4 linked regions of the Elephas maximus indicus genome follow. The protein of the gene in region 4 binds, or shares a complex with, the protein of the main gene of each other region. Links are inferred from orthologs where the notes say so. Each region holds a gene or a part of one and is shown on either strand. Other genes may lie near its edges.

Evidence for each region.
Region 1: the proteins of MED12 (region 4) and CCNC are in contact, whole or in part, in a cryo-EM structure (PDB 8TQC), measured with the Homo sapiens proteins. The link is inferred for Elephas maximus indicus from reciprocal best matches to the Homo sapiens genes MED12 and CCNC. Residues at the interface, in NP_005111.2 of Homo sapiens: Ile6, Leu7, Ser8, Tyr9, Glu10, Pro13, Leu14, Lys15, Arg18, Leu19, Pro22, Asp23, Val24, Tyr25, Asn47, Pro49, Ala50, Val51, Asp54, Glu55, His56, Gly57, Ser58, Ala59, Lys60, Phe64, Pro66, Ile69, Asn72, Phe73; in NP_005181.2 of Homo sapiens: Gly3, Asn4, Phe5, Trp6, Gln7, Tyr11, Ile15, Asp17, Gln19, Asp20, Lys23, Gln49, Glu53, Leu57, Arg58, Gln59, Ile62, Tyr153, Arg157, Pro158, Gln161, Tyr162, Asp165, Leu173, Pro174, Trp177, Arg178, Ile179, Asn181, Asp182.
Region 2: MED12 (region 4) and MED1 share a complex: the UniProt entries of both Homo sapiens proteins name them as parts of the mediator complex. The link is inferred for Elephas maximus indicus from reciprocal best matches to the Homo sapiens genes MED12 and MED1.
Region 3: MED12 (region 4) and MED23 share a complex: the UniProt entries of both Homo sapiens proteins name them as parts of the mediator complex. The link is inferred for Elephas maximus indicus from reciprocal best matches to the Homo sapiens genes MED12 and MED23.

The regions. Positions count from the first base shown.
Region 1 is NC_064819.1:164,409,161-164,417,074, forward strand, and holds the start of CCNC (cyclin-C), read right to left. Parts: upstream 3,002-7,914; 5' UTR 2,727-3,001; coding exon 2,695-2,726; intron 1-2,694. UniProt on the Homo sapiens protein: Component of the Mediator complex, a coactivator involved in regulated gene transcription of nearly all RNA polymerase II-dependent genes.
Region 2 is NC_064837.1:46,799,746-46,807,016, forward strand, and holds the start of MED1 (mediator of RNA polymerase II transcription subunit 1), read right to left. Parts: upstream 3,020-7,271; 5' UTR 2,807-3,019; coding exon 2,782-2,806; intron 577-2,781; coding exon 470-576; exon of another isoform or gene 450-469; intron 441-449; exon of another isoform or gene 1-440. UniProt on the Homo sapiens protein: Component of the Mediator complex, a coactivator involved in the regulated transcription of nearly all RNA polymerase II-dependent genes.
Region 3 is NC_064819.1:200,455,536-200,462,622, reverse strand, and holds the start of MED23 (mediator of RNA polymerase II transcription subunit 23), read left to right. Parts: upstream 1-4,073; 5' UTR 4,074-4,252; coding exon 4,253-4,300; intron 4,301-4,616; coding exon 4,617-4,648; intron 4,649-4,808; coding exon 4,809-4,896; intron 4,897-7,087. UniProt on the Homo sapiens protein: Required for transcriptional activation subsequent to the assembly of the pre-initiation complex. Component of the Mediator complex, a coactivator involved in the regulated transcription of nearly all RNA polymerase II-dependent genes.
Region 4 is NC_064846.1:98,567,412-98,574,656, forward strand, and holds the start of MED12 (mediator of RNA polymerase II transcription subunit 12), read right to left. Parts: upstream 3,005-7,245; 5' UTR 2,775-3,004; coding exon 2,676-2,774; intron 2,161-2,675; coding exon 2,056-2,160; intron 1,844-2,055; coding exon 1,652-1,843; intron 1,518-1,651; coding exon 1,358-1,517; intron 865-1,357; coding exon 683-864; intron 164-682; coding exon 53-163; intron 1-52. UniProt on the Homo sapiens protein: Component of the Mediator complex, a coactivator involved in the regulated transcription of nearly all RNA polymerase II-dependent genes.

The sequences.
Region 1 (7,914 bases), on a different chromosome or scaffold from region 4:
AATCAATATTCAAAAGTGAGACAGGTTTTTAGTGCTTCCTTTGCTAGATTTTATCACCAGTGTTATAATGGCTTCATAAAAAGAACTGGAAAGCATTTCCTCCTTTCTGTGTGAAATGGAACAATTTCAATAGCAGAGCTATGATCCTCTTGAAAGTTGAGGGTAATTTATGCAGGAAATAATGTGTGGGCCTTGAGCATTTTTACGAAGTCGTTCTGATAACTCTTAATTTGCTTTCTAATTTATGCCATACAGATAGTCCAAAGGTATATCTGGGTTCATTTACCTTTCTCATTCCTAATTTTATATTTTTACATCATCCCTTTTTTCCTTGTCTCAATCAGCAGTAGTTTATCCAGCCTATTGTCTTGGTTTTCCCTCCCAAAAAACCAGCTCTTGTATTTTCTGACAATTTTTTCCCTTTTATTACATTAATAAAAGTTTTACTTTTATTAAGTCTTTCCTTCTATTTTCCTTAGGTTTGTTTCACTGTTTCCTTTTTAATATTCTTAGGTAGAATTTTAAAAAATTTATTTTTATTCTTTCTCATTCAATAATTTAATTTTTTTACGTTCAGCATGGCTACATTCCATAAATACTGATATATATTGATCTCATTATATTATTTTCTAGATATTATGTAACTGTATTTTCAGTTTCCTCTTTGATACAATAAAGCATCCAGAGTTGGTTTTGTAGTTTTTATTTTTGTTACGTGCTCATTCATTCATTCAACCAACCTGAAAATATTTATTTAATGCCTTTCTGGTTTTACCACATTGTGATCAGAGAATGTTTTGTGCTACTTCAATTTTCTGGAATATATTGTGACTTGCTCTGTCCTGGAATTAACACTAATTTCATTTCCACAGAGTCATTTTATCTTTTTAAAAAGATAAATTTCAGAAACAAATATTTTTAAAAAATTTCCTCCCAGCATTTTGTATAGAGAATAAACCAAGACTTATAAATACCACATTTCATCAAACTTAAGATTCCACTGGCTGTAAAACTCATCATTATTTCATGTGTTACTAAGAAAAAAAAACTGCCATGCCAATTTCTGAGAAGTTAAAATGTGAAAATGTGCACCTTATAAGCCATGAAATACAATCTTTTTCATGACGTTTCCTCTTTCATCAAAATCTCTGATACGTACCTAAAGCAATGTCCTTTCATAATCTTTTTGTTTTTTTCACGAATTGATTGTCTTGTATTTCATACCTGTTATCTTTTACAGAAAAAGGACTTCATGATAATCAAGGGAGTTAAGTGAGGTAAAGTGGCCCCTTCCTTCAGGACTATTTGAATTGGCAGGCAGGGGCAATTCCAAAAAAGCACACTTAATGTTGTAATAACTTTATATCTCAATAGTGAAAAAAACAACTGTTTCTATAATGCCAATAGTAAGTGAAAGCATAATGAGAATGCTCATCAAAAGGGGGACAGGGTCTCTTTTCTAAAAGCTAAAAAACTGCATTAACTTCTGACGACCAACTGCCAGCTTCCCTGAAGTTCTCTCAGCTTCTCTCCAAGTTTATAAGAATACTCTTCTCCACTACCTATGCCTTCTATATTTTAACTTTGCCCAAGCAACTATTTCAGTGAGTGAAAAAACTATACAAAATAAAAATGGTATAATTTGTAAAGCTTCTAGAGCATTTCAGCACCATAGAATTACTTTAGAGCAAAGAGGAAGACCTGCTTTTCTGCAAATAGGTTTCCAAGGCCACTGTTCCTTTTTTCTTCGGGAAAGGGCCAAAAAACAAAAGAAAGGAACCGATGCTATTCATAAAATCAAAGTTGAAATTAGTTACAAACACTCTTACCATTAAAAATTACTTACACTAAGTACAGTCTTATCACGTTCTGTTCCTATTTCAACTTTCCAGTGAAAAGTCTAGTCAATGTTTAATTAGCCCCATCACCCACCTTCTTGCCTGCTTAAACAAATGCACTTAGGGAAAAATGTTTTTAATATAACTCTAGCTCTTCCACGATCACTGACAGAAACAAAAACTTATTTACGAAAAATTGTAAACTAGCAAACAAAATCACTGGAAAACACTTACAAAACAAAATACAAGGCACAGAATAATGAAATGGCTAAGTCTTGCAAGCACCTGCTGTATCACCTACCAACATAAAACTCCATCTGGGCATAAGGTAGTGGCAGGAAGTGGTTAGTGAGAAGAAACACGGAGTTCCCCCTCCTCCTCGGAACATTATTAAATACATTCAAGATAGACGGTGAATGACAAAAGACCAGGTGCCGATCCTCTAAAGTAATCCCAGGCAAAATCGAGCCACAGCCATCCTGAGGAGCCCACCTCACAGTCCACAACTGAGACACACTTCCCACACCCGGAGCCATCACCCAACCCCCTCCCCATCCCGGGCCTAGCTAATCCAACAATCCTAAATTAAACTCCTCAACCTCCCTTTCTCGGAGACTGCCCTGTCCCCACCACTCCGGGTCACAGATCCTTCCCCGAAACCGGGCTAGGGGGGCAGGAAAAGGGGAGTCATCTCAAAACAGCGCATCCCGCTGCCGGCTGCCGGCCGCCGCCGACTCCCGGGAGGACCCCGAGGCGCTCGGGACAGGGACCAGGATGCAGGCCAAGGGGAGCTGCAGGCCCCGTCCTTACAGACCCCTAAGTGCCGGCCCTGGACGGAAGACGGGAGATCACTTACTAGTGGGAGCTCTGCCAAAAGTTCCCTGCCATGGAACACAGCTTGCCCTGATAAAAAAGCACCAGCAGGCGGAGCGGCCCGCGGAGCGACCATAGACCCAGCCCGCCCGGTAACCGAGCTCCTCGACTATAATCAGCTCAGCTCCGCTCCGCGGCCGCAACGGCGAGAGGAAGAGGATGCCACGCTGTTCTCCTTGATGCCGGCCGGCAACACTGCTGTGTAAACTCGTTCCCTTTAACAAAGGTTCCGGCCCGCCCCGCGGTAGCGGAAGAAGCCGGCGGGGAGGAGACGGCCTGTAAGCGCGCTAGGTTAGGAGACGGGAACTGGTGCTCACGGGAGCTCCTGGGTATTGGTAGAGTCTCGCGAGAGCTTCGCGCCTGTTTCTCCTGGAGCTGGATGGTTTGGTGTTCAGTCATCAAAACTGGCTACGTTTAGTGGAGTTAGCCTGACGGGAGGATCGCAGTACTGGGTTTTGTTATTGCATCTTCAAGGCCTTTGAGACAGCATAATGGTATTGTAATAGACCATTAGGTTTTTTGATTTATCTTATTTCTTCGGCTATTGAAAAGAAAAATTATTTTGGCCTCACAGACTTACCGACATCTACTGGCACCAAGCCTAACATGTCCTTTTTTTTTAAAAAAAAAATTATTTTGTTGTTGAGAATATACATAGTAAAAACCAAAAAAACCCAAACCCGTTGCCGTCGAATCGATTCCGACTCATAGCAAACTTACAGAACAGAGTAGAGCTGCCCTATAGAGTTTCCAAGGAGCGCCTGGCAGATTTGAACTGCCGATCTCTTGGTTAGCAGCCGGAGCACTTAACCAATACACCACCAGGGTTTCCAAGAAAAAGAATATAACATTATTAATGCAAAATTAGGTTTAAAAAGTAAATGTTTACAATACAAAAAGAAATTATAACAAGTTTTGAAAGGTCGGTGGTTTGAACCCACCCAGCTCTGAGGGAGAAAAGGGCTATCAATCTGCTCCCTTACAGATTACAGCCTAGGAAACTCTATGAAGTCAGTTCTTCTCTGTCCTATAAGTCGCTATCAAGTCAGAATCAACTGGATGGTAAACAACAAAAAGTAAAGCCTTAGAGATTCAGGTCTGTTATGGATTGATTTGTGTCCCCCTAAAATATGTGTTGGAATCCTAATCCCTATACCTGTAGATATAATGTAATATAATTACTTTCCATAATGCAATCTAATGTTATATTAATGAGGCCATATCAACGTCCTAAACCTAATCACTTTTCCAAAAAATTTTTATTGTGCTTTAAGTGAAAGTATACAAATCAAGTCAGTCTCTCATACAAAAACTTATATATACCTTGCTATGTACTCCTACTTGCTCTTCCCCTAATGAGACAGCACACTCCTCTCCACCCTTTATTCCCCGTGTCCATTCAGCCAGCTTCTGTCCCCCTCTGCCTTCTCATCTCCCCTCCAGACGGGAATTGCCCACATAGTCTCATGTGTCTACTTGAGCCAAGAAGCTCACTCCTCACCAGTATCATTTTCTATCTTACAGTCCGGTCCAAGCCCTGTCTGAAGAGTTGGGTTTGGAAATGGTACCAGTCTTGGGCTAACAGAAGGCCTGGGGACCATGACCTCCGGGGTCCTTCTGGTCTAGTTAGACCAATAAGTCTGTCTGGTCTTTTTACGAGAATTTGAGGTCTGCAACCCACTGCTCTCCCGCTCCATCAGGGATTCTCTGTTGTGTTCCCTGTCAGGGCAGTCATCTGTTGTAGCCGAACCTAATCACTTTTGAATTATAAAAAGAGCCGATTAAACACAGAAACAAGGACAGGGGAAGACAGATGCCTCTGAGGATTACCAAGAAACAAGTAATGCCCAGGGCTACAAGGAAGGAATCTGCATGGCTGAGACCCTAATTTGGATTTTTAGCCTCCAGAACTCAAGAAAATAAATTTTTCTTCTTTAAAGCTATCCAGTCATGGTATTTGTGTTCCAGCAGCACTAGGAAACTACAACAAGGTCCCTGTCTGCTGTAAACTCTTTAGGCAATTTTTCAGGAATGTTACATAAAAATGCTTCCTGTTTGCAACCCTGCTCTCCTTCCCTTTTCAGACAACCAATTGTCCAGCAGCTCCCATCACTTACAGGGGCCTAAAGCTTAGAAAGTATTAGCTTCAGGGGAAATTACATCTGAGGGTACTTGGTAAGTGTAGGTTGAATTGAGTTGCATCAGGTTGTTATAGCTTGAAGGCACTAACTCCCATTGATCTAATTCCATGCTTACCAAGCAACCTTCCGATAATAATTTGTCTTTCCACAGGAATTTGCCTGTAGACAGAAAATACTCTGAGGAGTGAACAAAAGGATCTGATCCATTTGGTAGTTATTATCCTTATAAATCAATAAATTGATATTGGACTTTTGATATATGAGTTTCTGTGAGCTTGACTAATGTGCGTCCACACCTTAGAGATAATTTCGCTTTGTGGCGAAGTGGTTAAGGGCAATGGCTGCTAACCGAAAGTCGGCAGTTCAGATCTACCAGGTGCTCCTTGGAAACTCAACGGGGCAGTTCTACTCTGTCCTTTAGGGTCACTATGAGTCAGAGTAAATTCGATGGCAATGGGTTTGGGTTTTTTCTTTTGGAAGCTGGCAGCTCAGGTTTCTGAGTCTTCTTGAATGAGTGGTTCTGGGGAAGTCCACTTGTCTCAGTGGCCTTCTCCAGGTGATATCTGACCTTGATACACTTTTCTCTTCAAACAGAAACTCAGAATGGATTTTATCACCTGGCTATGGACTGAATACACTTCTAACTTCTTCCATTGTATTCTTTATCCCTGGCACGTTGGCCAACTCCTTTCCTTCTTCTTAGTCATACTTATTTCATAACTATATATTATAATTCTTTTGGTGCAAGTAATAGAGACTTGCTAAAGTTACCTCTGGAAATTTATAGTTCATTGTGAAAAGACTCATGGATTGACAGGAGAATTGTAATTAGAAAACTGTCAAGAACCAAAGCCAACTTTTCTCTGTGTGTTTCCTCTGTTTTCCTGTTCCCAGCTGGCCTATGCTATCCCTCTATTCTGTGTATTTTCTGTCTACTTCGTAGATTCTGATTGTTGTAACATTCGTTTGTATGCTTTTCTCTACATCATGAACTGTCATCCTTACTCTACATCATTATTTTCTTAATTTCTTTCATCTGCTTGTTTTTTATATAGTTAGATGTCTCACAAAAAAAAAAAAAATTGTCCGGGGCCACGCATACCTACAGGTAGCCCTGATGAAAACTACCACAATTGGCTTAGAGCAGTAGTCCTTAATCTTAGCTGTATTTTAGAGTTACCTGCTTCTAAAACATTCTAGTTCCCATACTCTACCCTCAGACCAAATGTCTTCTATAGAACACAAATGCAGACACAGACATACACATGCACATAATATATGCTTGTATATGAGCAAGGGGAAAAATGTGGAAATATATGCATCAAGTCATTAAATGGATAACCCTAAAGGGGTGAGTTAAGGGTAGTAAGAGAACAGGACTTCCCCTATAGTACAGGGTCTTTCGGAGGGGGGATTCCTTTTGTATAAACAATTTGATTTAAAATTGTTTTTAATCAAAGACTGTGAAGCTAAAGAGAAAAAAAAAACTGCACATAAATACTGTATTGTAGTTTGTAAATTTGTTTTCTGAACCTGCTTTACATGTATAGTGGGGTTGAACAAAAAAAGTAAATTGATGGTAGATAATGGGAGCCAAGTCTTTCACTGCCAGAGAAAGAAGTTACAAAAAATCAAAGACCAGAATGAATTCTGTGGTAATAAAGTCAGAGATTGCAATATGAACTCTTGTTTAGTTTAATACAGTGTGATGGTTAATTTTATGTGTCAATGAACAGGAGCCAGCTGCAGGATCCAGAGGGAGCAAAAGCCCACAAATCTTGCTAGAAAGTCCACCTATATTGGTTGCAGGCCACACACCCAAGGAAACACCCATTCAACTGATTGGCTACTCACAACAGATCCCATCATGGAGGCAATCACGTTATATCAGATCTCATCATGGAGGTGATTACATTTATTATACAACTGCCAGACTGTTATAACTGCCAAACCACTGAGAATCATGGTCCAGCCAAGTTGACACACAACCTTAACAATCACAACGTGTAGCAAGTCTGGCCAATGCAACAGAGGGGAAGTCTGCTTAGAGCTTCAGACAAGGTCTTTCTTGGTCTTATATCTAAAGCCTTTGACAAAAAAATTAGTCCCTCATCTACTATACTGTTAATGTGTCTGTTTGCCAGTGGTTATTAACTAGGGTGATTTTACCCTCCCCCACCGGGAGACATTTAGCAATGTCTGGATATTTTTGCTTGTTACATTTGGGGTAGTGCTACTGGCAAGTAGCAAGTAGAGGCCAGAAATGCTGTTAAAAATCCTATAATGTACAGAACAGTCTCCTACTACAAAGAATTACTGACCTAAAATGTCAATAGTGCTAGAGAACCTCTGCTGTTTGTGATAACTATGGTGTGCACATATCTTATGACCAGGAGGACAAGACAGTCAGACTGAGTATGATAGAACTGGAAGACAGGGCAAAATTTGATTCTTGGTGACAACATTGTGCAGCCACTGAATTAATCAATCCTGGAGCACCTGCCTGTAGATTTTTTGTTGGGTGAAATTATACATCCCTTTATTGTTTAAACAACTTTGAGTTGGCATTTGTGTTACCCGCAGCCAAGAACATCTTAATTGGCATATAAGGAGAAAGAAGAAGGAGTACAACAAAGAACATGTGAGGCTATAAGCACAGGGTGTTCCAGGAAAGAGGGAAATGGCCCATCTGGTATAAATTCTGGCCTCTCTGACAAACTGTATTTGAAATCCTACTTGCTCTGGAAGACCCAAAAATTACTACTAGTGTTACTGAGATGCTCAACTAGACATTTCTATGACACCAAATTGCATTGATTTTATTTGCTCCATTTCTCAAGCATTAAACTTATTTGTAAGTGACTAGAAATCAGTAAGCATACTTATGCTTTTTATATATTCTCTTGTTCAAAACTTCTTCTGTTCAAAGACATTTAATATGCTGAGAAGAAAAAATGGCATAATCTCTTTAAAATTTCACCTTATAAAAATTAATGGAACTTATTTTGGCAAAGAGTCTTTTAAAATATTAATTATTATGTTGTTGTTGTTATACACTATCA
Region 2 (7,271 bases), on a different chromosome or scaffold from region 4:
GGGCTCCTCATATTGGTGAATGATCAGGGGAAGAAGTAGCAGTATTGCAGAGAAAGAGTTTGAAAGAGTAGACAAGCGAAAGCCCAGGGTTTGCCTGTTATTAGTAATGAAATCACAACCTCTACTAGCAATGCAGACACATCAAAAGTACTATAAGATCAGTATAAGGGAACTTCATGGGAAGTGAAGAATAAAATCTCCTTATACCAGTCCATCAAATGTGCCCCTTATAGGTGCATTACTTAGCACTTTTGCCTGAAATACCCCAGTGTACTCACGATTAACACAATTTTATAAATACACCTCCTTCTCAGGAAGATTCCTAATGTTGACAGCCACCATGTACTCAGTGTTTGATGATAAATAAAACTGAAGACACACTATAAGGACTATAGTTTGAACAAGCCCACATAAAGATGTCAGCTTATTAAATAATTATTTAAGCATACCACTTTACCACAATCCTCACCATGACTTGACGCACAAGCTTAATGGTTTCACTCCAAGGTCTATTTTGGTTAAATTTTGCATGGAGTCGTTCCAAGAGAGAACTCATCTTATTCAGCTTTTCTGACTCTATGACATAAATCAGAAAGAATAATTAGAAACTCTTTTACCAGGCCCTTCCACAGTTTTTCTTGCAAAAGAAAACTCCAACTTCACCCCAGCAAAAACTCAGTTGAAATATTTTTCATTATTATTTACTTCAAAACATACAAAGTATTTTTAATGGTGGGAAGACACAAATTATGGGTCTGACCTAAGGAATACCATACAGCAGGGCTGTTTTCTATTTAAACATTTAAGAGTAATCAAAAGAAGGTCCATCTCTAATCACGATTCAGGATTAAGCTACAATTCAGTGACAAAGTCATTTCATGATATGCACGAAACCCCTTGCATGACAGATGTAGAGCATACATTTGAACATGGCCTTACTATGGCTAATTGGTATTCAATGTGAAAACACTGACTTCCTAAATATTTTGACATAATTTTGAGAGATCAATTTGTAGGTGCTATCAAAAAAACAAAGGAGCCCTGGTGGTGCAATGGTTAAGCACGCAGCTGCTAACTGGAAGGTCAGAGGTTCAAATCCACCAGCCAGCCCGAGGGAGAAAGATGTGCGGCAGTCTGCATCCATAAAGATTTACAGTCTTGGAAACCCTATGAGCAATTCTACTCTGTCCTATAGAGTCGCTATGAATCGGAATCAACTCAACAGCAACGGGATCAAAAAAACAGGCTCTTTTGGGTTTGTTTGTTTGTTTGAAGATCTATCTATATGGGATCAAACTGACAACAGCAACCTGAAAAATTAGGTAGGAAACTTAGGGGCAGTAAGCTTATGTTAAGGGCAGAGGAATAACTCAAAAAAGGAGGGTGAGAATGGTTGCACAACTCAAAGAATGCAATCAATGTCACTGAACTGTATGTGTAGAAACTGTTGAATTGGTCTATGTTCTGCGGAATATAGTCTCAACAACAGTAACAACAAGAAAATAAAATAAATTATGAAAAAAAAGAAATCAGGCTCTGTTAGCCATTCAGGTATTTCTTATTTGAGTTTAAACTAAAACTACATGGACACGGAAAAGATCTATGACCAGAGGATGAATCTCCAGCAGAGCTAAGAGAAAGGTAGACAAGAGTGGTTTTTGGACTAAGTATGTGCCCTCCAACCCTCCTCTAATTCTTAAGCTACCCAGTATGAGCAAGGAGCTGTGCTAAAGACCACTGGAAAAGCAAAAACATATAAAATGTCTGAGATGACATATGTGAAGGATGTGGATAAGTTAACGTGGAAATAACAGTCACACAAAGCAAAGTGAGATATGCTCTCAAAAACAGAAACACATCACTACTGAAATTCAAAGGAAAAAAAGTTCATGATCAGTTGTGGGGATGTTACAAAAAAGATAACAGTTGATGCTAGCATTGAAAAATGAATAGAATGTCATCAATCAGAGTTGATGCAAGAGGGAGAAGATCTTCTAAAACAAGATCCGTCTTTCTTGGATGCTCAAATCGACATTTTTTAAAGCAGCTATTCTATGCCAGGGACTACATAAAGATGAGGAAGGCAGGGTCCCTAATCCACAAAGCTTAGGATAAAGTGAAGAAGATAAGTAAACAAAAATAACACAAGGAGTTGTTTTAGCAGAACTATGCCCAAAATGCTAAGGAAGAATTTAAACTGGAGCTTGGAACTTTAGAGGGGCTGGGTAAGGTTCCACAGAAAAGTTATTTTTCAGCAGTTGTAAGTTAGTCCGGCCACTGGAAGGATGAAATTCAAAGCATTTTAAAAATATACAATAGCACGAGGTCTGAACACTGTGGTATTCTAGGGAACTGCTGGCTTTTAATATCATAAGATCCTAATCATCCCACTCACACCAAAACATCCTCCAGTACTTTTACATGCAGCTCTGTATTGTTAGTTTTATGTCGCTATTCAGACATCTCTTCTTGCACCAGGTAAAAGCAGTTTTAGATTCACTCACCTGGTTTCCCACCACTTTAGGCTAAAAGTGCCCTGAGACCCAAATGATTGCCCCAGTAGAGCAGGAAACCTTCACAGAAGTTGGAAGCCCCCATCACCCCAAAGTTGGAACTTCACCATCACCTGAGAAAGCACGGTCAGTCTAAAACTCATACACATCTTGCCTCCTGGACTCTGAGCCCTCTGGAGAGTGGCGCCCATGGGGCATCGGCCTCAGCCCCTCTCACCGGTTGGCTTCCTCCAATCGTGTCCCGCCCTCTTCTCTCCCCCTCACTCACCCTCGGCTTCCCCCTGAGCCTTCATCCTCGAGGTGGGGAAGGCCTGAGTCTGCCACACAAGAGGATTAGTCCTTCCCCACCAACGGGGGAACCAAATTGGTTCCGGTTCCCGGGACGCAGGGCACCAGTAGTCCCCACTCTTCCCGGGAAGGCTCAGTCCGAAGTCCCCGGCGGCAAGAAGTGAAGGGTGCTCGCGGCCGCCGCCATCTTCCCCAACGGAACTTCCCAAAGATCGCGAGACTAACCGGGATCCTGCGAGAGAAGGGGCAGGGCATCAAAATGTCGCGAAAAATAGTTAATTCACGCTCCTCGCGAGATTCTTGTGGCCCGGCCTTTCCTTCACTCCTGACTCTTTCACATCTCACGTACCGGGGCCTTGAGCTTGCGAGCGGAAAGCCTCCGGCTGCGGTAGTAAAGAGGTTCTTTCCACTTTGGCAGTTGAACAGTTCACAAATTATAAACTTCGGCTTTCCTTACTGAAAGACTATTTCTTCGAAAAACATTAGTATCAGATTTTATTAAAGATAATACCTTTTCTGTGAACTGCTAGATGAAATAATTGTTAAAAGATATCGGCATTTTGTAACACGGTGTTCGAAGTCAGCCCAACATACTTAATTCACATATTCTAGTTTGTTTACATTTTTAATTTCAGAAATATTTCTTGAGCAATTCCACTATTTTTGAAGATCTGAGGGATTTTGGGATAAGGTAAATTTATTTGCAGCGAAGTCTCTGCTGGTCTTAATTATATTTAAGGTCCCAAATGGGATCACAATTGATTTTGCCCTGTCTTTGTAATCATAGTGAAAACAAGCGGCTTAACTAGTTCTCTACACTAAATCACAAAGAATATGTAGTCGTACCTTTTGTATACAGTAAATCTTAAAGAGAAATTTGCAACAGTGATAAGAAGGTCTTGGCCAATGGAACTGAAGAACCAGGCTAAAATACAACAAGGCTAGCATTAAGGGAAAGTTCTTAAAGTAGTTAAAACTAAGGTTTTTTAATGTATTTTTTCTATACACACATCTTTGAAAATAACATTACCACTGAAAAGTTGGTCTTACCTAGTTCGCTACAAGAATATTAAGCAGTGTACTAATACAGGCTTTCTAGTCTCAGGCATTTCCCACCTTTCAAAAATGTTATTCAGACATCTTCCAAAGCCATCCCAACAGATACTGCAGTTCAGGTGAGCAGGCACAGCAGTGTAAACTTAGTAAGAACAAATACTTGGAAATGTATGGGGATGTGTTTATTGCCACAAAGATTTATCTCTAACAATGCTTCTTGAAAATGAAGTTCAAACTTTATTTCTTGTTCAGTCCTCTTATCCTCATACCTTTGAATCACTACACAGTGAGTTTCTTGGGGGAGTAATTGTCCCTCATTTCTGAATCCTCACTGCCTAGCGCTGTACTTGGATCTAATAGGAAAATCTTTTACTGAGCCTACAAGGCCTTGCTAGACCCAGCTCTTACCCCATTGCCACCCCCAGCAACAGTGACCTTTCATTTCCAGAAAATTCCTGCACTCCTTTCACCCCCAGGGGCTTCAAATAGGCCTTACTTCCCCACTATACCTAGGGTCTTCTTATTCAGATCTCGATTTAAGCCTTCTCTGACCTGATCAGGTACTCTTATATTGTTTCAAAGTTCTCTTTTAATAGCATTCTCACCATCAAAATTAATTGTGTGGTTTGTTGAATGCCTTGTCTTCCCTGGTAGACTGTCAGCTCCAGGAGTACTGCACTGGGTCCATTTCTTCACTGCTGTCTCCTGAGTGCCTAGCACAGCTCCTAACACACATCAGGGATGCAATGCATATTTCTAGAATAAATTGATAGGGTTGTCAGATAAAATATAGGATGCCTGGTTAAATTTTCATTTCAGATAAACAATTTTTTTTAATGTGAAAGTATGTCCCAAATATTATGTAATATGAATATTGTATAAATCTGCCAACCCTAAAACTGATGAACACAGAGAGCATTCATTCAAAAGAATTTTTCAAGATAGTTCATATTTAAAATGCTCTATCCTTTCTTGCTGTCAAAGTGCTCTTCATTTAACAAGCGTCTATGTGGTCTAATATGTATGTATTAGGAGCTAGTGATATAAAGATGAAAACACAGTCCCTTGAAAACCCTTGATGGCCTCACTTGATTTAGAGTTCTGAAAATATGGTTGGCCATTATCATACCCATACCATACCCATTGCCAGCGAGTCCATTCTGACTCATGGCAACACAGTGTATTACAGAGTATAACTGTTCCATGTTGTTTGCTTGGCTGTGATCTTTACAGAAGCAGATTGACAGGGCTTTCTTCCATGGCACTGCTGGGTGGGTTCAAACTACCAACCTTTAGATTAGTAGTTGAGCACAAATTGTGCCACCCAGGGACCTCACTATAATCATAAAAAATAGGTGCTTTAAAATCTTTGTTAATTAATTATTATGCCCAAAGCATTAATGTCAGATATATAGCCATACTTTCGCCTGGAGGCTATACAAGTAAAAAATAATGTCTGTACCAAGCGTAGGGGAAATTTTAAATTTACAAAGTTTGTAAATACAGAAACTTTTATCAAACTTTAGTCACAGAATAGAATGAAAAGTTATAAACTTTATCGACTGAAAATGCAGATGAAAGGATAGTGTTAAAAAATGTGTACACTAGGAGGAAAGATAGGACAGTCATTGAACAAGAAAAGCATTCACAGTAGTCATAGAAACAGTCTTCATAAATATGGCAAAATGGGAATGATGGGCAAATTTTATCCAGAAAAGCTTTGAGGAAGACTCCAAAGGACGCTTTAAATCTGAAATCTAAACTAACCAATTGGTTTGTGAGAGGTGGAGGAGGAGTATTGTAACTTTAGTTAAATATTTCTTATGTGTACAACCTAAAAGGAAACTTTCTGACCTGTTTTGGGGAATTTACAGAAAAAGTATTGCCACCACTTGACTTGACACTTTCAGGTTCAGAGTCTCCCTGACCTCTGTCCTAGGAGGTTATGCAAATAATGCGAACCGCACAGACCTGGAATTTCTGAGTTCAAAGTTTATTTTACAAAAGCGCTATTCTTACCAGTTATTGGGCCAAACGCTGTAGTTAGGATAGATTTTCTATTTAAAAATTTGGGAAAACCTGAGATTTATTAGAGTTTTATTCAGCAAAAATAGGAAGTATGCAGAAGAAAGAATACCAGTTTAGGATTAAGGAGAGACCTGATCCTCCTCCTGGCACTTCCTAGACTTGGTGTAAACATGGTCAAATCATATTCCTTTTGAGTCTCAATTTTGACATTTATCAGATGGATATAATACTCATCCTGGCCACCTTACCAGGTTCCTAATTTGTTCAACTGATATTTATTGATAGGCTTAAAAGAGTTCTGTGGAAAATTGAAAAGTGCTACAGGTACATATTATAAATGTTCAAAGATTGGGTAAAAAGCTTCACTCATTCGTAGGTGGTCTCTAGTCCACTTCAAGAGGCAACTAACATAATTAGGAATGTTTCTAGTGCTGTTTAATCTAGAATTATGAATTTTATTCTTTCAAATTTTATTTGATGTATCCCCATAATGCCTTCTGCAATCTTCACTTTTTCATTTTACCTTGAGTGCATCCTAGGTCAAAAATTTGATCTCATTTAAAAGATTTAAACCACAACTACCACAGCCTCTGCCAGACTGAGTCCAGCAAACTAGATGGTGCCCAGCTACTACCATCGACTGCTCTGACAGGGATCACAATAAAGGGTTCTAGACAGAGCTGGGGCGAAAAAAAAATGTAGTACAACATTCTAACTCACAAAAAAAGATCAGACTTACTGGTCTGACAGAGACTGGAGAAACCCTGAGAGTATGGCCCTCAGACACCGTTGTAACTCAGTACTGAACTCACTCCTGAGGTTCGCCCTTCAGCTAGAGTTTAGAGACGCCCATAAAACAAAACAAGGCTTAATGGGCATACCACCCCATGGGCAAGGACTAGAAGGCAGAGGGGACAGGAAAGCTGGTAACGGGGAACTCAAGGTTGAGAAGGGGAACGTGTCGACATGTCCTGGGGTTGGCAACCAATGTCACAAAGTGATATGTGTGTTATTTAATCAGAAACTAATTTCCTCTCCAAACCTTCATCTAAAGTACAATAAAAATTGTCAAAATGTAAAAAAAAAAAAAAAAAATTGGGGGGTAAGTTTTGCTGAACTCGAGGTGGGCTAGTCACTTTGTCTCATCAGCCCATTAAGCCTTGTGCCATCTGCCATCCTGTCAGGTATATAGTGGGGGCTTTTACATCCAGGCCCTCCCGAAGCAGCAAATGAGAAGTTACCACACCTGGATTCCAGTCCTTGAGTCATCTTTTTTTTTTTTCTTCTTTCTGGATAGCATTAGTTTTACTTCCATAGACAATTAAAAAGTTACCTTGAAAAACTTTGGTCTTCTTTTTAACAGAAACTCAAAAGTCATAGGAAGCT
Region 3 (7,087 bases), on a different chromosome or scaffold from region 4:
CGTGAAGAGAGTGCTTCTTAGCTCAAGTATTACATGAGACTAAATGGGCAGCTACTGTCCAGAGGGGAGATGAGAAGGCAGAAGGGGATGGGAGCTGGTTGAATGGACACAGGAAATCCGAGGTTGAAGGGAGGAGTGTGCTGTCACATTATACGGAGAGCAACTAGGGTCATATAACAATGCGTGTATAAATTTTTGCTTGAGAAACTAACCTGAACTGTAAACTTTCACTTAAAGGACAATAAAATACATCCATCTATATCTATCTATATCTATATCTATATCTATATCTATATCTATATCTATATCTATATCTATATCTATATCTATATCTATATCTATATCTATATCTATATCTATATCTATATCTATATCTATATCTATATCTATATCTATATCTATATCTATATCTATATCTATATCTATATCTATATCTATATCTATATCTATATCTATATCTATATCTATATCTATGCCATTATTCCCTGTCTTTACGCATAAGAATATGACCCAACTGGAGCTGGATTCATGAGGGTCCACAATCAATTGGGCCCTGAGGTATAAAGACAACACTGAGGACAATCTTGGAAAACATCTTGTAGAGAACTTTTCAAATAACCTCATAAAACAGAGCACAAAAACACTTTCCACTCTTATCTTTTTCTATTAACATTTAGTGAATAGTAAGATTTGTTAGACCAGTGAGGATCCTCCTGACTGCCCTTACTGAAACCTGTGCCAAAGATTACTAAGAAAGACAATTTGAAATGTAGAATCACAGTGACTTAGCAGTTTTTAGCCCAGTCCTACACCATTCTCACAATGGTTCTTATGCTTGAGCCCATTGTTGGCAGCCACTGTCAATCCATCTCATCGAGGATCTTCCTCTTCTTTGCTTACCCTCTACTTTACTAAGCATGCTGTCCTTCAGGGACTGATCCCTCCTGATAACATGTCCAAAGTATGTGCCATGGATTGAATTGTGTCCCCCAAAAATATGTGTATCAATTTGGCTAGGCCATGATTCCCAGTATTGTGTGATTGTCCATCATTTTGTCATCTGATGTGACTTTCCTATGTGTTGCAGATCCTAATCTCTGCCTGTGGTTAATGAGGCAAGATTAGATTATGTTAAGGAGGATTAGGGTAGGATATAACACCCTTGCTCAGGTCACATCCCTGATGCAATGTAAGTTGAGATTCCCTGGGATGTGGACTGCACCACCTTTTATCTTACAAGAAATAAAAGGAGAGGGAAGTGAGCAGAGAGGGGAACCTTGTATCACCAAGAACGCAGCATCGGAGGCAGAGTGCATTCTTTGGACCAGTGGTTCCTGTGCAAAGAAGCTCCTGGACCAGGAGAAGACTGATGACAAGGACCTTCCTCCAGAGCTGACAGAGACAGAAAGCCTTCCTCTGGAGGTAGCACCCTGAATTTGGTCTACTAGCCTCATAGACTGTGAGAGAATAAATTTCTCTTTGTTAAAGCCATCCACTTGTGGTATTTCTGTTATAGCAGCATTATATAACTAAGACAGTATGTGAGACATAATCTCGCCATCCTGGCTTTTAAGGAGCATTCTGGCTGTACTTCTTCTAAGACAGATTTGTTCATTCTTTTGGCAGCCCATGATATATTCAATTTTCTTTGCCAACACCATAATTCAGAGGTGTCAATTCTTCTTTGGTCTTCCTTATGTATTGTCCAACTTTTGCATGCATATGAGGCAATTAAAAACACCATGGCTTGGGTCAGGTGGACTTTAGTCTTCAAGGTGACATCTTTGCTTTTTAACGCTTTAAAGAGGTCTTTTGCCCAGGTTTGCCCAATGCAATGTATCGTGTGATTTCTTGACTGATGCTTCCATAGGTGTTGATTGTGGATCCAAGTAAAATGAAATCCTTGGCAACTTGAATATGTTCTCCATTTATCATGATGTTGCTTATTAGTCCTTGTCTTAGTTATCTAGTACTGTTATAAGAGATATACCACAAGTGGATGGCTTTTACAAAAAGAAATTTATTTCTTCACAGTAAAGTAGGCTAAAAGTCCAAATTCAGGGCTTCAGCTCCAGGCGACGGCTTTGTCTCTCCGTTGGCCTTCTCATCAATCTTGCCCCAGACAAGGACCTTCTCCGAGCAGGGACCCCAGGTCCAAAGGATGTGCTCTGCTCCCGGCACTGCTTTCTTGGTGATGTGAGGTCCCCCGCCCCTGCTCGCTTCCCTTTCCTTTTTGTCTCTTGAGAAATAAAAGGTGGTGCAGGCCACACCCCAGGGAAACTCCCTTTACATTGGATCAGGGATGTGACTTGGGTAAGGGTGTTGCAATCCCACCCTAACCCTCTTTAACATAAAATTACAATCACAAAATGGAAGACAACCACACAATACTGGGAATCATGGCCTAACCAAGTTGGCACATATTTTGGGGGGACACAATTTAATCCATGACAGTCCTATTGTCAGAATTTCAGTTTTCTTTATGTTGAGGTGTAATCCATACTAAACGCTGTGGTCTTTGATCTTCATCAGTAAGGGCTTTAAGTCCTCTTTACTTTCAGCAAACACGGTTGTGTCATCTGTGTAATGCAGATTGTTAATGAGTCTTCCTCCAATTCTGATGCCCCTTTCTTCTTCATATAGTCCAGGTTCTCAGATTATTTGCTCAGTTTACAGGTCGACTAAGTATGGAGAAAAGATATAACTCTGACACTCACCTTTCCTGACTTTTAAACCATTCGGTATCCCCTTGTTTTGTTCAAACTACTGCCTCTGGGTGTATGTACAGGTTCTACATGAGCACAATTAAGTGCTCTGGAGCTCCCATTCTTTGCAATGTTCTCCATAATTTGTTACAATCCATACAGTCGAATGCCTTTGCATAGTCAATAAAACACAAGTAAATATCTTTCTGATATTCTCTACTTTCAGTCATGATCTGCCTGACGTCAGCAATGATATCCTTAGTTCCATGTCCTCTTCTGAATCTGTCTTGAATTCCCTGGCAGTTTCCTGTGGATGTGCTGCTTCAGCCACTTTTGAATGCTCTTCAGCAAAATTTTACTTGTATGATAAATGGAAACCCTGGTGGTGTAGTAGTTGAGTTTGGCTGCTAACCAAAAGGTTGGCATTTCGAATCCACCAGGTGCTCCTTGGAAAGTCTCTGGGGCAGCTCTAATCTGTACTATAGGGTTGCTATGACTCAGAATCAACTCGACAGCAATGGGTTTTTTACGGGTGAAATTAACGCTGTTGTTTGATAATTTCTGCATTCTGTTGGATCATCTTTCTTTGAAATCGGCATAAATATGGATCTCTCCCAGTAAGTTGGCCAGGTAGCGGTCTTCCAAATTTCTTGGCTTAGACAAGTGAGCACTTCCAGTTCTCCATCCATTTGTTGAAACATCTCAGTTGGTATTCTGTCCATTCCTGGAGGCTTGTTTTTCACCAATGCCTTCAGTGCAACTTGGATCTCTTCCTTCATACCATAGGTTCCTGATTATATGCTACCTCCCGATATCGTTTAAAGTCAACCAATTCTTTCTGGTATAGTGTTATTAGTACTTAAAAAATGGTAAATATTTTTATTATTAGATGACTATACCTAAAAAGGTAGATTTTATTCTTTGATGGTTCGAATTAAAATTCAGTAGTGATGCATTCATATGTCCTTTTTGTCTGGCACTCTGCTAGGCCACCTCGGTCACCATACTTAAAAAGTCATGGTACCTGTGAAGAGAAGTGTTGTTTCACCTCAGGGCTCTAGGCTGCACCAGAAGGCCAGGTGCTCACAGAAAGCTGGTTGGTCCAGGCCGTGGCAGAAGTTGTTTTCTGCAGGCTGCAGCCCCTAGGCTCTATACCTTCTCCCCAGTCTAAGAGTTTTAGGAAGCAACTCCTATTCCAGCCAGAGGGTGGCGGCCTGCAGCCGACAACGCTTCTGGGTGTCTTGGGCTTGAGTATCCGCTTGAGGGCGCGCTCGCGAGCAGCCCTTCTGCACAAGCGGAACTATCTGGCGGGCCTCCTGGTTTGGGGGGGGTTCTGTAATCGGCGCGTACCCACCTCTCCGGGCTTCCGTGCAGCCTCCAGTTGTGTGCGGGGCCCTGGAGAAGACGTTTCCGGCTCGGTGCTTGGAGAGGAAAGTGACGCGGGTGAGAGCCGCGGTTTTTTCCGGGCGTCTCCGCCCCTTTGGCCCTCCGTTCCCGAGGCTCGGGCCAGACCCCGGCCGCGCTGGGACCCACAGGAAGGTGGGGCGATGGTGCAGATGGAGACACAACTGCAGAGCATTTTTGAGGAGGTGGTGGTGAGTGGAACTAGTCGGGGTCCCGGGCGATGCAGCGGGAGAGGCGGGGGCAGCGGATCAATTAGGTCGGCCTGGGCAGCCGCCTCCTCCGTCCTCGTTGCGACGCGGTGTGAGTGTGCAGGCGTTGGTGGTTCTCAGGCTGGTGTCACGCTCAGGGTCGCCTTTGAAATCCCCAGCTCTCTGGTGACAGGCGGCGGGTGCCGGTAGTTTCTGCACGTTGCCCATTGAGATGCTTGTACTGTGTCGTTAGGGGTACCACCCCCCTCCGTTTTTTATTTGTTTACGTGTGTCTTTTTTTTTTTTAATTGTTTTACAGAAAACGGAAATTATAGAAGAGGCGTTCCCTGGGTGAGTATAATGCATGGCAGATTTTTATGTTTTTACGTGAGGGTGTCTTTGTAAGACAGGTTTTTCTTGGGTTCTGTAAAATCGACTGTTCTAGTTATGATGGATTGACTTTTTAAAGCTAGTGGCAAATAATATAATTTTGGGTTTTTTGTTTGTTTAGCATGTTTATGGATACCCCTGAAGATGAAAAAACAAAACTTATAAGCTGTTTGGGGGCCTTCAGACAGTTTTGGGCTGGTCTTTCTCAGGTGAGCACTGCATTTTTAATATATTCAGCTGATGATTTGGGGGTTCCCTCCCCCGTTTTATTTTTTACATTTACTTTGATGGTATTGTTAAGTTTTTTTCTGGAAAAGGAGAGATCAAATCGTTATATTTTTTCTCTTATTTGTCTCTTTTGGTTTCCATTTGTTTTAATTTGTGTACTTCCCAGTGGAAATCTGTATTGAGAAGTCATGATGATAGCACAGTGTGGGATGTCTTTATGATGCTTTTTAAAAAGTTCCTATGTTAGATTATGTAAGACGTTTTCATCCTATTCTGATTTATTTGGTGACTTGCAAACAGCTGTGTTAGGCATTGTAAAGAATATAACTTTCACTCATTTATGGATAAGAGGAACTGGCACAGTATTGAAACAAAGACTATCATGAAGATACAATAATCCTATAGTAAAGATACAAAGATACCACAATATAGATACAAAGAAATTATAATAGGGATACATGCATAGTATAATAAAAAATGGGCAGAAGAGCAGTAAAACTTAGTTAACAATCACCAGAAAATGTATCCATGAAAAAGACAAAATGTTTGATACTTAAAGAGGTCATGTTGGAGTAGTGCATTACAGGTAGGGAGATGAGAACTGTTTGCAGTTGAGCTGCTGCTGGTAAAACATGCCACTCAGACATAGATCACGCAGTGGCCGTACATTAACTTTTTGTTTGTTTTAATTGTCTTCTTATAGATAATACAAGCATGTGGTTCAAAATACAAAGGAGTAGATCCAAAGAATAGTTTCTTCGCATCTCTTTTAGATTGATCCCCTGTTCTTTTTCCTGTCTGCAGTCATTGTCCCCAGTTTAATAATTTATGAATATAGAATCATTTTATAGGGTGGTCATATACTGTGCACACTGCTAATTACCAGCTTGGCTTCCCCCTTTAATGATAAATTAATGTTTATTATTAATAGATATTTAATAATATTCATTGTTATTAACAAATAACTTTTAATAATGACAGTAAATTCTCTTTTTGCCAAGGCTTAATATTCCATTGTATGTCTGCACCTTTATTTAACTGGTCTCCTACAGACTGACATTTAGGTTGCTTCTTTCTTTTTCCACTTTAAACAATGCTAGAATGAATGATAGTATGCACAGGACATAGGATAAATTTCTGGAAGTGGTATTGCTGGCTTAAAGGTTATGTCTGTTTATAATTTTTATGGAAATTGCCAAATACCAGTTTCTACCTGGTTAACAATGTCTGAGGAGCCCTGATGATGCAGTGGTTAAGTGCTCGGCTGCTAACTAGAAGGCCTGGCAGTTCGAACTTACCAGCCACTCTGAGGTAGAAAGATGTGGCACTCTGCTTCTGTGAAGATTACAGCCTTGGAAACCCTATGGGGCAGTTCTACTCTATCCTATAGGGTCAGTATGAGTTGGAGTGGACTTGACAGCAACAAGTTTAGCAATGCACGAGAGCCCTCAGCCCAGCAATTCAGTAGAGACAAATTCTGAGAACCACTAGTAGAGCAGTAATTCTTAAAATGTATCATATGTAAGAATCACTGGGAATCTTGTTAAGAACGTAAGTTCTTATTCAGTATATCTGGAGTGGAAATAACAAATTCACAGAAGGGGTTTAAACCAGAATGAACCATTTTGAAGCCCTGAAGTGCAGTTAATAATAACTGCCTTCAGCAGTTATTAAAACTATTTGGACAATGTACAGCACAACTTGATCAAGACAAGGTCACAGAAGCTTCACAGACAAATGCAAACTCCTTGAGGGACTGAACTGTGGGGCCACGAGCTGGGGACCACAGTCTTGGGGGATATCTGGCTCAACCGGCGTTATATAGTTTATAAAGAAAATGTTCTACATCCTGCTTTGGTGAGTAGCATCTAGGATTGTGAAAACTTGTGAGCAGCCGTCTAAGATACTCCGCTGGTTCCACCCCATCTGGAGCAGGGGAGAATGAAGAAAACCAAAGATACAAGGTAAAGATTAGTCTAAAGGACTGATATATCCAACTACCACAGCCTCCACCAGACTAAGTCCAGCACAACTAGATGGTGCCAGGCTACCACCTCTGATCTCTCTGACAGGGATCACAATAGAGGGTTCTAGGCAGTGCGGGAAAAAAATGTAGAACAAAAATCAAATTCACAAAAAAAAGACCAGACTTACGGGTCTGACAGAGGCTGG
Region 4 (7,245 bases):
AGTTTATCCTTCAAGTCCCCCCTATAACCCCCTCCAAGTCCTAGTGCCTTACCCGAAGCAGCAGAGGCAGCAGCAGTTTAAGCAACTCATCCTCTCCCGGGCGGATTTTCTCAAAACACTCAAGTACCCAGGTCAGGAACTCATGCCTGTCCAGCATTCCATCCTATAGGTACCGGGGTGGGAAGAGTATTAGTTCAGTCTAGGGACTATTAGAGATGAGGCAGGAAAAGTAAATGACCATTCCCGAAGCCAACTCTTCAGACAGGGACTGGACTGGACGATGGGTTGGAGAGGGATGCTGGTGAGGAGTGAGCTTCTTGGATCTGGTGGACACTTGAGACTATGTTGGCATCTCCTGCCTGGAGGGGAGATGAGAGGGCGGAGGGGGTTAGAAGCTGGTGAAATGGACACGAAAAGAGAGAGTGGAGGGAGAGAGTGGGCTGTCTCATTAAAAAAAAAAGTGTGTAGCAAGGTGTAGATGGGTTTTTGTGTGAGAGACTGACTTGATTTGTAAACTTTCACTTAAAGCACAATAAAAATTATAAAAAAAAAAGCAAATGAAAGGATGAAAGAAACCACAACAGGAGCAAGGTGGTTGGCTGATTCTGTTCTATACTGGCAGAGAGCAAAGCAAGGTAAGGCTCAGTTCGATGCCCCACACACTACATGCCCTACTCCCTACCTGAAACATGAACATGGCTAGCTTCTCGTTGTAATCCCACTGCCGGATTGCCACCTCCACATCATGGGGCAAAGGCCCGATAGTGGAAGCACAGCTGCCACTTCCTGCAGGCCCTGGCCGGTAGTACTCAGCCATCTTCTGCAGCTGCTCCCATAGGTACTTGGTGATGATCTGTGTCCACTCTAGAGGAAAGATAGAAGAGGCTATTTTATACTGTCCCTCTGTGTAGAATTTCTTCTGTCCCCTACCCCCACCCCCAATCACATACTTATAAATCCTATTCAACTTCTTAGGCTAGAGTCAAATGCCACCTTCCTAAAGCCTTCCCAGTTGTCCACCAAAGAAAGTAAACTTTTTGCTGACTGAAGTCTCAAAGAATTTTCTGCCTCCTCTTTTAACATTTGCTACTTTCTATATTTTAATTATGTTATTTGTACATGTGCCTTAACATCCCTACTAGACAATAAGCACGCGAAGGGCAGGAATTATGTACTAGTCATCGTTATAGCCCAGTACGTGCATATTACTTATACTCAAGATACTCAATGTTTACTAATTGAGTGAATGCAAGATACAAGCGGAAGAATGGAATATAGTTTAGGAAAGAGAATAATTCCAAGGATTTATCATTCTTAGAAAGGGTCAGTGATACACCTGGTGTTAGGAGTTACTCACCCATGAAGGGGTCAATGACATGTCTCTTCTTAACCTTGGTCTCAGTGATTGCTGCATAGTAGGCACAGGTCATCTTAATAAGCCAGGCGGCTCGCATCACAGGCACTGTGTATTTGGCTAAGTACCCAAAGACTTCTTCCTTCTTACTGAAAATCGGGACCTGGATGGACATAACAAATAGTGAGGTTTCTATTACCCCATGAGCTGGTATCGATGTAGCTTAATATGGGAATAGCAGCATACTTGGTATCCACACTCCCCCCTTGGCCCGAAGAACAGGAAAGAGTATCTCACCTTTTTGGCTAGTTGTGTGAGTGGCTTGGTGCCAGCCAGGTCCGTGAACCAGGTGTTAATGGCACTCTGGGATCGTGCGGTCACCAGCCAGAAGTTGTCCTTCTGGTTCACTTGGGGCTTCCTGCGACCAGTGTCAGGGAGGGTGTTACAACGTAACTTCTCTGCAATAATGCTGCTGAAGTTGGAACTGATCTGAGGGAAGAAAACTATACCTCAGGGTGGGAAGAAGGGGCAGATAGGTGGTTGGTTGTGCCTTTGATATACAAATACCATTGTTGTGGCATTAGGTTACAATGGAAAACTCAGCCATTTAGATTGTCTCTTTAAGTCTTCCCAACCCAGGGCTTTTGCTCCTTCTCAGATTCTTCCAGCCTTTTCCCTTCAGTCTGGCAGGGTTGCCTCACCTTGGCAGGATTGAAGTTGACGTTCTTGGCACTGCCATGTTCATCCCCAGAGACAGCAGGCTGGTTATTGAAACCTTGCTTTACATTCAAAGCCGTCAGTTCATCCTAAGGCAGGAAAATGACATTTTAGCTTTTTTTCCCCCCCTGGGCGTAGGAAGGGTGAAAGAGGAGGGCAAGGGGAGGGAAGGTACAAGGAAAAAGGGTAGAAGGATGATTCTGAGTAAAATAGATTGTTATTTAAGGCTAGGCTCTTTTACTCATTTGGACCCCACCCTCACCTCCTCAGTCACTAAGATTCCCAACCACCCAGTACTCCCTCAACATCACTCTTCCCTAGAGAACAGCCTTACCTCACCAAGCTACCGTCAGACAACTTTCTGAAGCGTATGTGTATACGTGTGGGGGGATGCCTCTGGTGTGGCCCCTACATCATTCCCTATTTATAGCCAGAAGCCCCCATAGCTAGGTCCTACTCTCCCACACCGCCCCACTTTACTCTTCCCCCTTTCGGGACTTTGCTCCCACCTAATCGCCTCGCCCCCTCCCCCAAGCCGTCAATGCCTCCTCCTGTGCTGATCGCTTGTCCCTAGTCCCGCAAGAGCCCCGATTAATGAACGCACCTCCTTCTGTTTGGGATCTTGAGGGTACACATCGGGAGGCCCCAGCCGCGGCCGCTTCAGGGGCCGGTGTTCGTAGCTCAAGATCCCGAAGGCCGCCATTTTGCCCAGCCCGTAGCGCCAGAAGCGCCAGCAGGGATAGGCTCAGGCGGGGGAAAAGGGGGAGAGGGAGCCGAAAAGGGGGGCGGCAGTTGGGGGGACGCGGCCGAGAGACAACGAGGGGGAACGTTACAAACTCTCGATCACTGCCGGAAACTACCGAGTGAACCCGAGGGACACCGGGAACCGTCCGACAATACCGACTGCAGTGGGGGCGGGGCCGGCCCAGCGTGGGGTGGAGCTCCGTGCCCAGAAAGCTTTTCCTACCGAGCGGCGGAAAATCTATTTCACCCAGCAAAAAAAGTCTGTGAAACGCTCTTGAGCCAAGTACTGTGCTGGAGATACAAACTTCCAAAGGCGGAGGCAGCCGTGGTGCTGAACCAGGGTTCTGAGCTGTGACTGAAATTGGGTTCCCAGCGCCTACCTCAGTTCTTGGCCTAGAAAAGCTTCTCAATAATTATTCGCAGTGATTCGAAACTGCCTTCTACAAGCTACTTCTTCGTTTCTGCAACTGAAAAGTGAGCATACTGTTATGTTCTTCAAAGGACTGTTGAGAAGACTAAAAACTATGTATGCATAAGAAAGCACCTATCAAGCCCTGAAAGGCTGTCTCTATCCTCTAAAAAGAAAAAAACCCACTGCGGTTGAATAGATTCTCATTCATAGGGACCCCCTCAGGGTTTCCAAGGCTGTAAATATTTAAGGAAGCAAACTGTCACATCTTTCGCCCGCGGAGCCGCTGATGGTTTGGAACCGCCAGGCTTTCAGTTAGGAGCCCCGGTGACAGTGGTTAAGAGCTACAGCTGCTAACCAAAAGGTCGGCAGTTGGTAATCCACCAGCCGCTCCTTGGAAACCCCGCGGGGCAGTTCCACTCTGTCCTGTAGGGTTGCTGTGAGTCAGAACCGATTCAACAGCAACAGGTTTTTTTTTTTTTTTTGAATCTTTCGGTTTGCACTCATGGCTTTAACCGCTGCGCCACCAGGGCTCCTTCTCTAACCTGGAGAAGCCTTCATATGGTCTAGTGTTGAGGTTCTTAATCTTTTTTGATTCACAAGCCCTTCAAGATGCTGATGAAAGCTATGGGCCTTCTTCCCAGAAAAATGCACATATGGACATACAAAATGTCAGATATTTTCCAGGAATATTTTTAGATCCCCAAAGCTCATCTATGTATTCCCTAAGTGGCCATGAATCCCAGGTTAAGAACCATCGCTCTAGCGAGAAAAAAAAAAAAAGTGAGAGGCACCTATTAAATGTTAGATGAATTTCAAACATTATCTCATTTAATCCACAAACAACCCCATGAGTTAGGGATTATTATTGTCCCCATTTACAGGTAAGGAAGCTGATTTACTTGCCCAATATTATACAGCTAATACAGAGTTACTGTACCAAAAAGAACTTATCGATGTTCAACCATTTCAGGAGGTAGCATATGATCAAAGTCCAAACTGCACTGAAAACATTGGTGAAAAACAAGGCTCTAGAAATTGACTGAATACCAGTTGAGATGTTTCAACAAACGGATGCAACGCTGGAAGCGTTCACTTGTCTATTCATAGACATTTGGAGGATAGCTGCCTGGCCAACTGACTGGAAGAGATCCGTATTTGTGCCCATTCCAAAGAAAGATGATTCAACAGAATGGGGAAATCGTCAAACAATATCATTAATATCACACGCAAGTAAAGTTTTGCTGAAGATAATCCGGAAGCAGTTGCAGCAGTGCATCAACAGGGAGCTGCCAGAAATTCAAGCTGGATTCAGAAGAGGACGTGGAACAAGGAGTATCATTGCTGATGTCAGATGGATCTTGCCTGAAAGCAGAGAATACCAGAAAGATGTTTATTTGTGTTTTATTGACTATGCAAAGGCATTCAACTGTGTGGATCATAACAAATTATGGATAACATTGCGAAGAATGGGAATTCCAGAACACTTCATTGTGCTCATGAGGAACCTGCACATAGATCAAGAGGCAGTTGTTCGGACAGAACACGGGGATACTAAGTGGTTCAAAATCTGGAAAGGTATGCCACAGCTCTTAACCACTACACCACCAGGGTCAGCAGAGGGTCAGTGAAAAAGAGGAAGACCCTCAAGGGGATGGATTGACACAGTGGCTGCAACAATGGGCTCAAACATAGCAATGATTGTGAGGATGGCTCAGGACTGGGCAGTTTCGTCCTGTTGTACATAGGGTCGTTATTAGTCAGAACCGACTCGATGGCACCTAACAACCAGTGAGTAACAGAGGAAGAACTAGAATCCCTTCTTGACTCCAGAATCGATATTCTTTTAGTAGGGTATCACCTCTTAGAGATGAGATAGCTAGAGTGCTATAATAAAAGTACGAAAGGCAGTTCTACTCTGTCCTATAGGGTCGCTGTGAGTTGGAATCGACTCGATGGCAGTGGGTTTAGAGGGTAGGAAGAATAATTCTGATTGGGGAGAGGAAAACATGTTGGAGGAGGTAACATTTAAGTTTACCCTGAAGGATTTGAATCCACAGAGAATTATCAGTTGCCATTGAGTCCATTCTAACTCATGGTGACCCCATGGGTGCCAGAGTAGAACTGTGCTCCATAAGGTTTTCAACGGCTGATTTTTTGGAAGTAGATTGCCAGGTCTTTCTTCTGAGGTGCGCCTGGGTGGATCCAAACCTCCAATCTTTCCATTAGAAGCTAAGTGCGTTAAAGGTCTGCACCTCCCAGGGACTCCCACAGAAAAGTAAAACAAAAAAACAACTTGTTGCCGTCAAGTCGATTTCCAACTCATGGCAACCCCATGTGTTAGAAAGTTAGAACTGCTCCATAGGATTTTCTTAGCTATAATCTTTACAGAAGCAGTTTGCCGGGCCTTTCTTCCATGGAGCTGCTGGGTGGGTTCGAACTACTAACCTTTAGGTAGCCAATTACACAGAAAATTAGGGAGAGGCTAATCCCAGTCAGATGGGAGCAGTGGTGGTTCAGTGGTAGAATTCTCACCTTCCATGTGGGAGACTTGGGTTCAATTCACAGCCAATGCACTTCGTACGCATCCATCACCCATTTGTGAGTGGTGGCTTGCCTGTTGCTATGATGCTGAACAGGTTTCAGCAGAGCTTCCAGACTAAGAAAGAAGAAAGGTCTGGCAGTCTACTTCCAAAAATCAGCCAATGAAAACCCTATGGACCACAATAGTCAGATCTGCAACCAATCATAGGGATGGCACAGGGCCAGGCAGCATTTTGTTCTGTTGTGCATGGGGTCACCATGACTCAGGGGCCAACTCAAAGGCAGTGACAACAACAACAGCAACAGCAACAATTCCAGTCAGAGAGTAAATGCCTATGACATGTCCAATATGGCTGGATGTGATGATTGGAATTTGGACTTTACCCTGAAGGCCATGGGTAGCTTTTGAAGACTTTTAAGTTGGAGAATGCCCTCTGTAGTGGGTTGAATGGCGGCCCTCAAAAGATATGTCCACCAGGAACCTGCGAATGTGATCTTATTTGGAAAAAAAAGGATCTTTGTAGATGTAATTGAAGTAAGGATCTCAAGACGAGATCATCCTGGATTGGAGTAGGCCCTAAATCCAATGGCAAGTGACCTTATAAGAGAAGAGAAGGGGAAAGGAGGCACAGAGGAGAAGGTGACGTGACAATGGAGGCCGAGAATTGCTGGCAGCCACCAAAACCTACAGAAAGGCTGGAATGAATTCTCCATCAAAGCCTTCAGAAGGAACCAACCCTGCCTGCACCTCGATTTTGGACTTCTGGTCTCCAGAGCTGTTGGAGAATAAATTTCTGTTGCTGTAAGCCACCCACTTTGTGGTCATTTGTTAAGGCAGCCCTAGGAAACTAATACACCCTTGAACATTAGGGCTAAAAGAGACTTTAGAGGGTGTCAATACAAGCTTCTTATTTTTAAGTAAGTCCCAAGGGGATAAATTATTTGCTCAAATAATAGCTATGAAAAGAAAACTATAATCCAGATGTCCTGAGACTCCAAGTCAAATGCTCTTTTCTTCTGCCTGATGTCCTGCCCCTTTTCTGTCTGGTAAAATTCCACTCATTCTTTATGATTCCTCTAAAATAGCACCCCTCCAGCTGAGCCTTCCCTTAATTCCCCCGCCCCCCCATCCTGGTAAATTTAGTTACTTCCTCTTCTGTGTTCACACACTTTGCAGTATCTCCATATTTATGCTCTATAACTTATTACGCTGTGTTTTATTATTTGCTTGTATCATCCCTGCTTAGCTATGAGCTCCTAGAAGGGTGAGGATATCTTATTCATTTGTATATTCCCAAAACACAAACACAGAGCCTGACACATAGTAAGGGCTCAATACGTATTTGCTGAATAAACAATTTCTGCAAGTAGTGTCTCCAGTCAGCTCTTCTGTGTTTTGGGGAAGGTAAACCTGGCAACAGGATGAAGAATGGATTAGAGAGCAGAGGGGCTTTAGAGAGGGGAGAACAGTTAGTGG